Linked DNA regions of Drosophila melanogaster. The protein of the gene in region 2 interacts with the protein of the main gene of each other region in a pairwise test. Each region holds a gene or a part of one and is shown on either strand. Other genes may lie near its edges.

What was found.
Region 1: the proteins of CG3649 (region 2) and CG15478 interact in a two-hybrid assay, tested with the Drosophila melanogaster proteins (one large-scale study listed by BioGRID).

The regions. Positions count from the first base shown.
Region 1 is NC_004354.4:7,712,255-7,720,095, forward strand, and holds CG15478 (uncharacterized protein), read right to left. Parts: upstream 5,679-7,841; 5' UTR 5,537-5,678; intron 2,863-5,536; exon of another isoform or gene 2,717-2,862; intron 2,238-2,716; 5' UTR 2,230-2,237; coding exon 571-2,229; 3' UTR 529-570; downstream 1-528.
Region 2 is NT_033778.4:22,844,047-22,848,620, reverse strand, and holds CG3649 (uncharacterized protein), read right to left. Parts: upstream 2,645-4,574; 5' UTR 2,605-2,644; coding exon 2,571-2,604; intron 2,509-2,570; coding exon 1,963-2,508; intron 1,709-1,962; coding exon 1,044-1,708; intron 994-1,043; coding exon 778-993; 3' UTR 710-777; downstream 1-709. Other genes in the region: CG13531 (uncharacterized protein), read left to right, coding at 1-193, 263-424, 483-702.

The DNA.
Region 1 (7,841 bases), on a different chromosome or scaffold from region 2:
GAAAAAAGAATAAAAAAAAAAAAAAAACGAGGAATGCAAGAGAACTGTGGCGGGAATTGGGTGGCATTGTCATCGTCAGCAGCAGCAGCCGGCAGCAGTTTTAATTTACACAAAGCGTAGTCAGGCGTGTAATGCTCGGTGGCGGTATGATGAAGGCTCCTTTTTTATGTGGCGCCCAACGTTGGTGGGCCTGAAGCTCGACAATTCGTGCAACGACATTTAAAAAATGCCTTAAGGCAGCAAATACGTGGAAGATGAACCAACAGGCGACGACGACGGCGTGAAATGATTTATGAAATTACTTTTACCGTTGCATATTTCTAGGGGCAGGGAAACTTCAACTTGGGCCACAGTTTCAGTTACAAGCTGTCATGTTTATTTGCAAAGAAACGTTGATTTGATAGATCTCTATCATTTTGTTGTATAAGCATTTATTGAGCGCGTAACTGTTTCTTCTTATTCTTCAAGTTACTTACCTTCTCAAAACCACCAATTTCTGTAGAAAATGAAATAAACAATGATCATATTATGGACACATTAACTTTATTCGTATTATTTAAATAAGTAGCCTCAATCGATTTGCGTGATGGAAGCCTCGTCATTGCTGGAACATCGACTGCTCTCGCCATCCGTGCGATACTTGATGGAGTCAATGATCTCCACATCGATGTCACAATTGCCCTGATTGCCGCTCGTTCCCTCCAAACCGGCACCCGTATCACTGGAATTTCGTTCCAGTGAATCTTCATCGCAAAGATCGGGTGCCGAAAGTGAGGCACTAACCGATGCCGATTCCGACTTGGCATCGATATCCTGACTCTGCACCTGCGCCTGATGGGCGGCAAACTGACTGTAAAGGCGTGGCAGATGTTGCAACATATAGCTGGCGCCCGATTTCGATAAGTTTGCAGCTGCAGCAGCGGCAGCAGCGGCTGCCGAAAGATTAGCAGCCGTACTGGACGGTTGATTTTCCTTAGTCTCGCCCAGATCATAGTATTTGGCATAGTGCTCGAATTTGTTGCCCAATGTGCTGGTGGTCACTGCACCACCACCGCCGGCGTTTGATCCTGCCGCATTGGCGCACAGATTGATGGCATCGTTTTGGGCCGCCTTGGGTATGGGTACAGTGAAGGCGGAGCCATGACGCTGTTTGCTCAGCAAATTACTGGCCAAACCGGAAGCGGAAGTGGCGCCCGAGCTGGAACACGAGCCGGGTGAACCTTCTTCGGCAAGTGCATTATTGCTACTCGAAAGCGGTGAGACATTCTCCTTCTTTCTATCGTATATATGTCCGGAAACGCGAAGATCGATGAAGAAGTGCAACGGATCGATGCCGTAGGGTGCATAAAGTGGTGGATACCAAACCGGTGGTGGTGGCGGCAGGACCAAATCCTGTGGTGGCAACGATGCCGCCGGCGGTGTATTGTCCTGCAGGTTAGTGTCGACGGCACCACCCAGACCACCAGTCTTATTGCCAGCCGTTGGTGGTGCCGTCGTTGGCGTTGGCGGTGTTATACCCATAGCACCTGGTTTGGTTTCCATTTTGGCATAGCCATAGGGTGTCATTGCCTTATTGGTCAGCTCTAGAGGTTTCTCCGGCACCAGTTGCTGCTGAAGTTGCTGATGTTGCTGCTGCTGATGCTGTTGATGTTGCTGCTGCTGCTGCTGCTGCTGCTGGTGTTGCTGCTGCTTCTCCTCTGCATCGCGTCGCTCCCGCAATTGCTCGTAGTATGGACGATGCGACCAGGAGCGTTTTCTTGGCCGCCTCACCAAGGCGGCCTGATGTTGCTGCTGCTGTTGTTGCTGTGCCTGCTGCTGCTGCTGCTGCTGTTGCTGCTGCAGCTGCAAGACACGCGCCGTCTCATTATTTCGCGCTTGCACCAAGGAACGCAGCATATCGCTGAAAAAGAAATTATTTGGTCCCACGGGTGCGGAATACAAATACGGTGGTGTGGCTGCCATTAAACGACTGACGTAGTCCTGATTTCTTAGCTCATGGATGTTGCTCTTGCTGCGTTGCTGCGGATTTTGCGGATTCGTTGCGGTTGGATCTGCAGCAGATGCTGCTGCCGCCGCTGCTGCTGCTGCTGCTGCTGCTGTTGTGGGCGTACTAGGCGCACTGGGCGTGGCATTGCTGGTGGTTACCCCTGCTGACGCTACTGCTCCTCCCGTTGAGCATGGCATCCCTGCTGTGTTGCTCGACGAGATGCTGTTACTGCTGTCCTTCATTGCTGCTGCTGTTGGAGAAAAAAAGTTAAGAACACACAAAAGACGTTGGCTCAGTTCTGTGGCTGAAGTCACTTGAAATTTATATTTGTATAGGGATATATATTTGCATTGTCTTGGACTGGCATTCCACCGCCTTTTCCATGCTCCCGCCCAACCATTACCCACGGGACAATTAAATCTGAATTTTCTGTTTGCTCCGAGTGAATCTGTCTCGATGTATAAATGTGTGTGAGTTTTCTCGGTTGGCAAGGAAGTCTAAATAATGACTGAAGGGACTTGGTGTTGAACTTGAAAGCGTCTTAAGATTGACTGAAAATCCAAGATGTTAGCAAATGGAATGTAATTGATAGAAAAGTAGATTAGAAATCAGTTCAAGCATTAAGCATCAAGCCCGCAACCTTTAGAGTCCTGTATTCGTATAATTGTAATAGCATAACTGCCATGTGCATCAAATCCATTGTTCCACAGCTGCCGTCAGCTAAGCTACCTTTATTATAACTTTATTAAGCCAACATCTGTGCCCAGCACCCAAAAAACAAATGAAATTTGCATAGAAAAACAGGCGCGCAAGTTCCCTCACTCTCCGTTATCCCCATAATTTTTTTTCCGTCTCCAACTCCCCGCTGATCCCTTAAAAGCTGTTAATAAGCTTACACACATCGCGCCAAATTCCAGTAAATTAAATGTTTCAACAGCAGTGACACCCAACCACCCTCATTGCCGCCTCCATTTCCGCGAACGTTGGAGGACAAACTCAATTGTTGTGTTGCCAAACTGTTGAGGCACTTGACGCTGTGTCCTGGCTGCTTGTATCCTGTGCCGCCTGTGTGCCTGTCAATTCTAACCAGGAACAGTACAGAATCACGCATTGAAGGACCCCCCCCCCCCATTTCCACGACTCCATTGCCTTGTTGCTCTTTCATTTTCGCATTTAAAAAGTTTTTAACAACCCACAGACGACGCCTGTTACCGAATACCCTATAATAAAACGAAAGTAATATCAAGGAGTACACAAATTGAACAATTTGAAGGCATTACTTAGTTTGTGAACTTTGAATTAATCCTTCATGATTTTTTCCTTCTATGGTTTCTATGGTTTTTTCGAAAACGAAAAACATAATTTGCAATTATTCATTATAGAATATATTGCATTTTTAGGTATCATCAGCTTCTATACGATTGCTTGGAACATTCATTTGCATTCCTTCTGTTTTTTCCGTTATTCCATGTTGGATTTGTGGAATTTTTTATTTTTATATTGTTTTTTCATTTCGTTGTAAAAATATATAAAGTTTTCAACCGTCGCAAAAGGAATATATGATTGGGGGTTTCGGAGGCGGAGATTTTCAAACGGACGGGTGTTGATTTGCATTTTTTGGCAGCCGTTGTTCGTGAGAGGTAAAAATGTTGGTTAGGGCGACATTTTTGCGACAAAGTTAAAATTAGATTATGCTAATTAAGGCGCGGTGGTTGTGGGCGGTGATAGGCGTGGCCAACCCGGCATCTGGTACTCGGTGGAAATTCCGTTGATTTTCCCCGGCACTGATTGATGCTGGGCAGAGCTTTAATTGCCAGTTTCTCTTCTCATTTTTAAATTGGTTATGGCTGTGGTGGCTCTGGAGCAACTGGCAGCATTTTAATATTCAATCAGCAGCTGTCGGCCAACTTTCTTTTATGGCCCATGCCCAAGTTTGTGCATAAGTTTTGCAGCTGAGAATAAGTCCGAGAACTAAAAATATGGAGCTGAGATTAATGCGCAAAGTGCATCCGACTTTTGTTTGTCTTTCGTCTGGGGATAAGCTGAGTACTAACTTTTGCGAAATTCTTTTTTTTTCCCCTTCTCAAACAGCGTGGCAATTAAAACCAGAGTAGAAAGTAATCCCTCCACTGGATTCCCCTTGGGTGGTGATCCACCCACTCAAGGCTGCCCAGCTGATTGATGTCGCATCATCGATGTTAAATTTAAGCCACCACCGGAAAATAGAAGAGCCGATTGGGATTGCGGGCAACCCCTGTAAGCGTACACTTAACTGGCACTTGGGCTGGGCAACCTTATAACATAATTACTGCATATCAAACAGCGATAAGTTGCCCATGCCACTTCATTCCGAAATCACTCTGGAGTTCATCTTCCCACCCATGGAGTTGGTTAGCAACCCTCCTCGTGCTCACCTGGTGTGCAACCCTGAACGAAGTCTATGTTCGCATTTTGTGCCATTCAGGCGCGGTTGTAATCTTTGTAAAGCGTGATGTATCGTGTAATTGGCGCCCAATGTGGGGCTTTATGAACAGTGGATTGTTATCGGGTTAGTTAAATAGTTTCAAAGGATGAAGAATTGGAAAATATGTAGCTGCCTAAGAATGTAAATCTGAAATTAGCTAATAATTTTAAATATAAAAAATTTTTTTATGACCAAACTAGATCGCTCAAATGACTAATAAATAACATTTTTAACCCTTGCTCGTTAAGCGTCCTGCCTGTTCCTGCCCTGTGTTTAAGCCACCCCGCTCATATCCACGCACATATGGGGACAAATGAACTTGTTGGTTTGTTGGTGACATGGCGTTGTGGTGTTAACGTTACAGCGTTTGACTGCGAATTAAAATAATGTGCCACTTGTGGCTTTCTGTCCATGTGTGTCGGCTACAGCAGACAGTTACCCCTGCCCCGCATCCGGGGAACTCTGTCCCGTGTATGTTGTCCGTATTCGTGTCCGTTTGGGTTGCCTGAAAATTTGACAAAATTTCATTTGCAACTTTGCCCGCTGCCAGAGATACGCATGCATCACAACGTTTTTCAAAATCGAATTTGCGTTGAACCCTTTCTGACAGGTTCTTCGTGTAGATTGATCTGGGATTTTGCAAAGGGTTGAAGTAAAGTGCAACCCCTGGATGCGTTTGAATTATGGCTAAATAATTTCTCCAATGAAAATTTGAAGTTTAGCTTGGATTGTTTCGGTTCATAGACTGACTGAAGTGCATAAAGTATTTTTGGTTTTATTCTAATCATTTGGATTAAATGTTTCAAGAAAGATTAGTAAAGTTCTTGGGTTTGTTAGGCTTTGATCGAAAAGTTTAATTGTAAACGAATGCCTTATGAAGCTTATATATAAGATTTTATTAGCTTATTATTAACCTTATTAAAATATCAGGTTAATTATTAAGAATGTCCAAATTGTGTTTTATTAAAAGAGGAGTTCTTAAGTTGGAATATAATCATTGATTGCATTTTCACAATAATATTTTTTATAGACGCGTTTTTTTAACACATTCAAATCCGATCTTGCGAGCTGATCAATTTTCTCACCTATGATTACTATATTGATAGATATATTTGTTTAAAACTTATTTCACTTAAAAAAAATATATAAAATAATATAAGCACTGCTTGGGTAACGCGTTGCTAGCGGTCTGAACTGCCGTCGATGACAGTTAAAAATCAAATGAAATGAGTGCCAGCAGCGGCAACAGCAGGAAAGCAGAGCAGCATCCAACGAGTCCTGAGGCCGAGACAGAAACAGAAAAACAGAGACCGAGTACCAGAACCAGAACGAGGCGAGTTCGGTGCGATTTTAAAATTATGAATTGTTGTAAATGAAACGAGGCGTAAGCAGAGCGCCAGCAGAGCTGCTAGGTGGGTGGTGGTGCGCCACAGTCGCTGTGGCATTGGTGGTGCGCATCAGCAGCAGCAACATCGACTGTGGCAGTAGCAGTAGCAACATCACCAGCAGCAACAGTGCTAAAGTGTTCATGGAAACCACCCTCGAAGAAAGGTAAAAAGTTTTCAAAAAGACGACCAAAACTAGAGCGAGACGTAAGCTCATTGGTCTATGGGTTGATCGCTTCCGGTTGGTGCAGTCTTGCCAAATTTTACACGTTAAAGATCGACTGGGAAACGGAAGTAAAGAGACCTTCTTAAAATGGTTTTGTTTAGGTAATGAACTGCTTATTTGGCGCCCAACCTGGGGCTTATGTGCTTCGGAACACAAAGCATTATCATATCATGCATTATCATAAATCAAAATTCTAAGAATTAAATTCAAGAATAAGTGTTATATTTATTACTGTGATGGAACTTTTTTTTTCCACATTTCTCGGGCAACGTTCCCCGGTTTCAATTACCAATCTCTGGCGGATGTTGCCAGTGGAACAATGGATGCAGTCCTTGGCTACGGGCAACGTGTTGCTAAAACGACAGCTCAACTGCGGGAGTAGGTGGGTGATGGGCCGGTTTGAGCAGGATAAGCTTATAATTTCTATTACAATGAAGGCATGCGGATGCGGTTGGATATGTAGAGCGTTGCGTTGCTTTCTTTGCTTAATTTTTTGCTGCCACCGACTGTTTGCGACTTCATTAGCGACACCTCCCCACAAGCTGTTGCCAAGCAATTGCATCGTGTGTCTGTGTACGAAGATCACTGGAAAAATTTCACTGTTATTGGTATAGTTGTGTGTAGTTACTTGTTTGTTCTAGTACTCAGTGCTAAGACTTAAATAATCATAAATAATTATGATGAAGGTATGTGGATTTTATTTAAACATTTAACAGTGGCTATAGCATTTTTCGGCTGTGCATCTTTGCAACTTGCCATCGGCAATGGAATCTGAATCCAGAGCAATAGCTTTGAAAAACTCGTGTAGCTTTTTTTGCAGTTTGCTGGGCTGAGCTTGTTTGAAATAAATACCGCATTTTTTGGCTCGTCCTTTTTTGCACTAGTTGTTAGCTGTTGCCACACGTTGGTTGCGTGTTTGCCACCCACTCGCAGTATTAAAAAAAAAAAAAAAAAGAAAAGCTCCCATGGCTGCACATCAAACGTCAGCACGGAAGGAAGCTGTTTCTGTCCAGGGAGTTTGGGTATGGGCGTTTGGCATTCGGCATTGTCTAGCATTCCCCGCCATCACCCACCAAAAACCCACACCAAATCCATTTTTCCCTCACCCAACGGAGGCTGTGAATGTTTACACTTTGGATTTGGTTCTGGTCGTCGCATTTCCCTTCCACCTTTTTTTTTTTTAATTTTTGTTTGGACTCGACTCAGCTCGAGATTTTGAATACAACTCGGTTAACGGTTGTTATGGCAATCCGTTCGGAAAAGGGACCTGGTTTTATAGCGTGTAACAGCGGCTGTTGCAGTGGGGAAGCCCCTCGAATAAGTTGCAAGTTGGGGCGGTCAAAAGATGTGGAATTTCGAAAATGTTCAGCATATCAGAAAATGAAAAGTATGATCAAGGTACGCTGATGAATAAAGTGTGATTTAAATAGGTAGATCATAATATGTTTGAAATGCAGAGTTGCATTTCGATATTGTGTTGATCGATGAAAGTTTGAAGTGATGCTGATTCCTACATAAATTAAATATAAAATTAAATTTATAGTTATTTTCGAGGGACATGTTGCGTGCTTTTAACAATTTAAAGACACTATATCTTCCTCTCTTTTATAGCCGCATGCAACGTCTCACACATGCCACACAATTTGTGCCACTTTTGTGATGCGCATCCATTTCCGCTTGGGCGGCGGCACCACTTTCAACGCTCCACCCATCCGCCAAACCACTCGCTTGCCATATTATCCTTGCTTTTATTATGATTTTTTTTTCACATTTCACTCG
Region 2 (4,574 bases):
ACTATTTGTTGGATAACAAGCTTCTGCTCGCCCAGCAAAGTGTTTCTCGAGCCGAGCTGATGGCCATGCAACTGGATCTGTGCAACAAAGCACTCGAAAAAAGGCACAGCAATAACGCGAATCATTTGTGTGTCAGCGTCATTGGAGTGCGTTCTAGGGAACAGTTTCGGGAGCTAGTCAACGTCCATTTAAGGTATGCAAAAGCTTTACATCAAAGGACTAACTATTTAAATAATTGGTTGTCATTATGTTTCTATTCTAGCGTACCTCAAGCTCTGATTCTGAGTCGCGCCTATGGTTATGATATTAGTTGGAGCGAAGCCATCTTGTCTCAATTCGTTGTGCTTCAGGGAGTCAATTATCTGCAGGAATATCTGTGCCATCAGCGCATCAATGATGATGTAATCGAACAGATTGTTAAGGGGTATGTGTTTGGCTGGCCTGACTTTATCTTCCTCCTTGTTATGATTATATTATTTCAGTTATTTGCTGCACATCCAAAGTAATGCCACGAACTCAAAACAGGAAGAGTCGATGGTTCAGCTGGTGGGACTGATCAAGTCCGTGGTTCTCAAATACAAGCTGGCATCCATTTTGGGCTTCAAGTCCATCGTGATGTCCTTAATCAACGATTCCTCCGTTTATTATCTTAGAGATACAAATTTCGGTCGTACCGATTTCCACACAGCAGGAGATACGTGACATAAATACCATTGTGATTTTAAACTGTTTTTATACAACAACATTAGCACTGATTACGTTATTACAAATATACATTTACAAATAGTTAAATCTCTCGACGGATATCGTTTCCTCGGCAACTGAGGGAGCCGATGCCTGGGGCTTTGGTGATGCTTCTGTTTCGGTCTCTTTGGATGGGGAATCATTCCAGGACTGGACGGTCATTTGACCAAAGATTAGGTACATCAAGTTGCCGAGGAACAGAATCACCGAAATGCCAAGGAAAACTGTTCGCCATTGCGATCGATCCGACTGAAATAAAATAAAGTTAATCAATTTACTTAACTATCCAAATTACTTACCTCTTTGGTTACGGTCAGCCCAATGACGATTGGCGATATCACACCAGCCGCAGACATCAGTGTGTTGCTCATCCCAAACAGGAGTCCAGCAAAGTTTGGCGACAAGTCCACGTGGTTAAGGGAACTGCCAATGGCCTGTCCGGAAATGGCAGCTGTGGCTGCAATCAGACAAAACATACTGCCCACCACATTCTGATCGCTGACGTAGGATAGGATAACCAGGGCTACAGCAGGGGTCCATGTGGCAAAGGAATTAATGGTCTTCCGTAGGATAGGCAATGAAATGTCTCGACGACGGGTTAGGTATTCAGCCAGGAAAATGAATCCGTAGGATGACATCAGCATGACCACAAAGGGCAGAGCTGAGAGCAGGGCATTTGCCGCAATGCTGTAGTGGAATATACCGTGGATGTAGCGCGGAATCTGTTGCATCAGCGTGTAGAAGCTGCACGCCTGGCTCATTTTGCAAAACGCCAGGACGATAAATGGACGAGAGGTGAGGATCTGGAGCCACGGTACTGGAGGAGTTGCACCGCGAATCACCTGATTCTGCTCGAGGGCAAATTGAATGTGCTTTCGTTCCGCCAGAGAAATGAATTTCGATTCGGATGGGCTGTTGGCGCCATATCGCAAGAAAGTAAGGCACCACACGATGCCTAAGTATCCTGAAATTGAAATCAACACTTGGTAAATATATGTGTTCTATTTAATATAGTATATAAGCTAAAACCTATGCCTAAACCATACTTAATCAGTTTTTGCTTTAGAGTTATGTCGTAGGTAAGTAAAATGATAAATACAGCTATAAAAGTGTCATTAGGATTTACTGCTAGTTTAACGTGTCTTTAGAAGAGTTCCGCAGTTGTTTCTGTTACCCGGGGCTGTCTAAGGAGTAAATGATTATCTATATAGAACTCACCTGGCACGTAGAATGTGCTGGGCCACCCGAGGGGCGATGCAGAGAGTACGCCACTCAAAGCGAATCCCATTATTGTCCCACAATCCAAGCCAGTGGTCATGATGCCGCCCATGCGATTGGCCTCCTTCTTGGGACACCACTTGGCCAGATGGGTGTACAGGCAGGGCCACATGCCGCCCATGGCGAGTCCCTGGACGAATCGCACCCAGAAGAGCAGCTGCCAGCCGCCCCAGGCCAAGGCGAAGGGCGTGGCAATGCTGAGCAGAGCGGTGAGCAACATGATGGTCAGCAGCAGCACCTTGGCTCCAAAGCGACTCGATAGGTATCCACTCATCATCTGGGTGCAGCAGGAGCCCCAGAAGGGACTGCTGATGGTGTACGACTTCTGAGGCTCTGTCAGTCGGTATTCCGGATAATTTGGGTTGCTGCTATTGGCATTCGTAAAGGCCACAATGGCCACGCTCATGTTGAACCTCTGGGCCACGATCAAGGTGGCGCACAGAAAGAGGAACAGTACCTGCAGGTGGCGAACGCCCCACATGGGACCTGCGAAAACAAATGACTCTTGCAACGAACTTGACACGCGCATTGAAGTACCAGCTCCTCACCCTTTACCACCAAGTTGAACGATTTTATCGTCATTGAGCGGCGCAACGACCAATGCGTTCACCTCAAGTCACCGAACTGCATGTTCAAAAAATTGGCAATGCCAGCTAATAAGCAGCTTCAACAAAATTGTGCTGCGAAACTAGTTTACAAGCCAAATCGTCAAACAGGCTCCTCCGAAACTTGAATTCTTTCCTCGTGCCGCTGGCAGTGGTGCAACCGAGTTCTAGGCATATATGTTGCATTCTTCAATAAGAATGATTTGGATATGGAGGCATCGAAAGTGAATCCACATATTTGAGGGCGCGAAAGAGCCAATACTCTTACTATTCCTCTAGTCTACATCTAAATAAATGTGATTCTTAACTATTTAAAATATGTAAACCTAGATTTTTTAACTTTGCATAGGTAAATATTAATATTAAATAAAAACAAAAAACAAACAAACATTTTTAGAAAAATTATACATATACTTCCAAAACTAGAAGAGGAAGTTTTAGAAATGAAAACAAATGAAGTAACTTAATTTTCCAGCTGAAGATGCTCATCTCATAAGCGGTAGTCAATCATAATGGTTTATTGACAGTTTTACGGCCGAATGGGAAGCCAAGCCAGTTAAATTGCTGATCCAATAACTCACAGTCTCGTGGGAGCAATAGTTGTGTACAAATACAAACAATAACAATGACGGGTGCGAATCGTTTGCTCTTATCAGAGGCTAAATAAAGCGCCGGCAGTTAGCCAGGTGCTTTATATCAATCGCCAGAGCCAATTACAATCACTTAGTTCCGGGCACTAGATTGCTATTTTATCAAATGGCGAGGCGATCGTTAAGCTATAATTATGGGCGAATTAGCAGCTGATAAGATAAGGACAGGAGACCTTACTCAACTTAAGTAGGCTAGTCTCAGACAGGGATTCCACCATTACGAGCTATAGGTCCCAGACTAGATGACGGGTTTGCAGATAAGATCTTAAGTGGTAGCAGAATAAGCGAAATATCCTAGGTGCCAATAGTAAACAATGCGTATGATTAGAATGCCAGAAAGCTAGAATAAAAATATATACATATATGTAACATGGAGTAAGGCTGAAGGCTGGCAACAACCCGGTTGGCAGCGCTGTTGAGCAGCAACATGATTGTCGGAAATCGAAGTTATCGACAATCAGTCATCGAAGGAACGATCGCAAGGCAGCAGTGGAGTGGAGTGGAAGTCAGCGTTGCAGTCAGTCGAGTTCTCAGCAGCAGTCGTTCGGTCACAAACTAAGAATACTTTATATAATTACCGCATTTAGAATTAAATTAATAATAAACAATAATAATAAACAATCTTACATGGGGGCTCGTCCAGTCCTAAATCGGTTATATGAAGGTGCAGTTGTTTAAAGAAAAAAGACATTGTTGTGTGCGTGGGTATAGTCTTTAAAAGTTGTAAAGTTGTGGCTATATCTATTGCATTTAAAGTTGGAAAAATCAGTTGTACAGATTTTGTTTGAACACAAGTCGGTAAAAGTCGGGAAAGCTGCTAGAGAGAACTGATAAAGTTGAAATTGTCGTGTGCGTGGATTTAGTCTTTAAAGTTGTAAAGTTATGGCTACGTCTACTGCATTGAAAGTTGAAAAAATCGATTGAACTCATACAGACTCAAGTCGTTTTGCTGTTGTGGAATTTAAAACAATTAAATTGCAAAGGTGGTGAAATTCGTTTCTAACGAAAATCAAAATTTGTCTTTTAACCGGTGGCGCCGTCTGCAAAATCGACTACCGTCGCGCCGTTAGAACATTGTCGTTGTTTGCTGGTGTTAGTGCCTTGTCGCGGAATGTTCACACGTACACCACCTACAAATAAAAAACTTAACACCGACCAAATACAAGCAATTCTAGAGAACGAAAGCGAGGACGAAAGCAGAAAAGAAAAAATGAACGAAGAAGATCAAAAGTTGGCGCCTGTAGGAGAAGCAGAGGCAAAGAAGCAGAATAAAGACGCTAGTGCTAAAGTCGAAGAG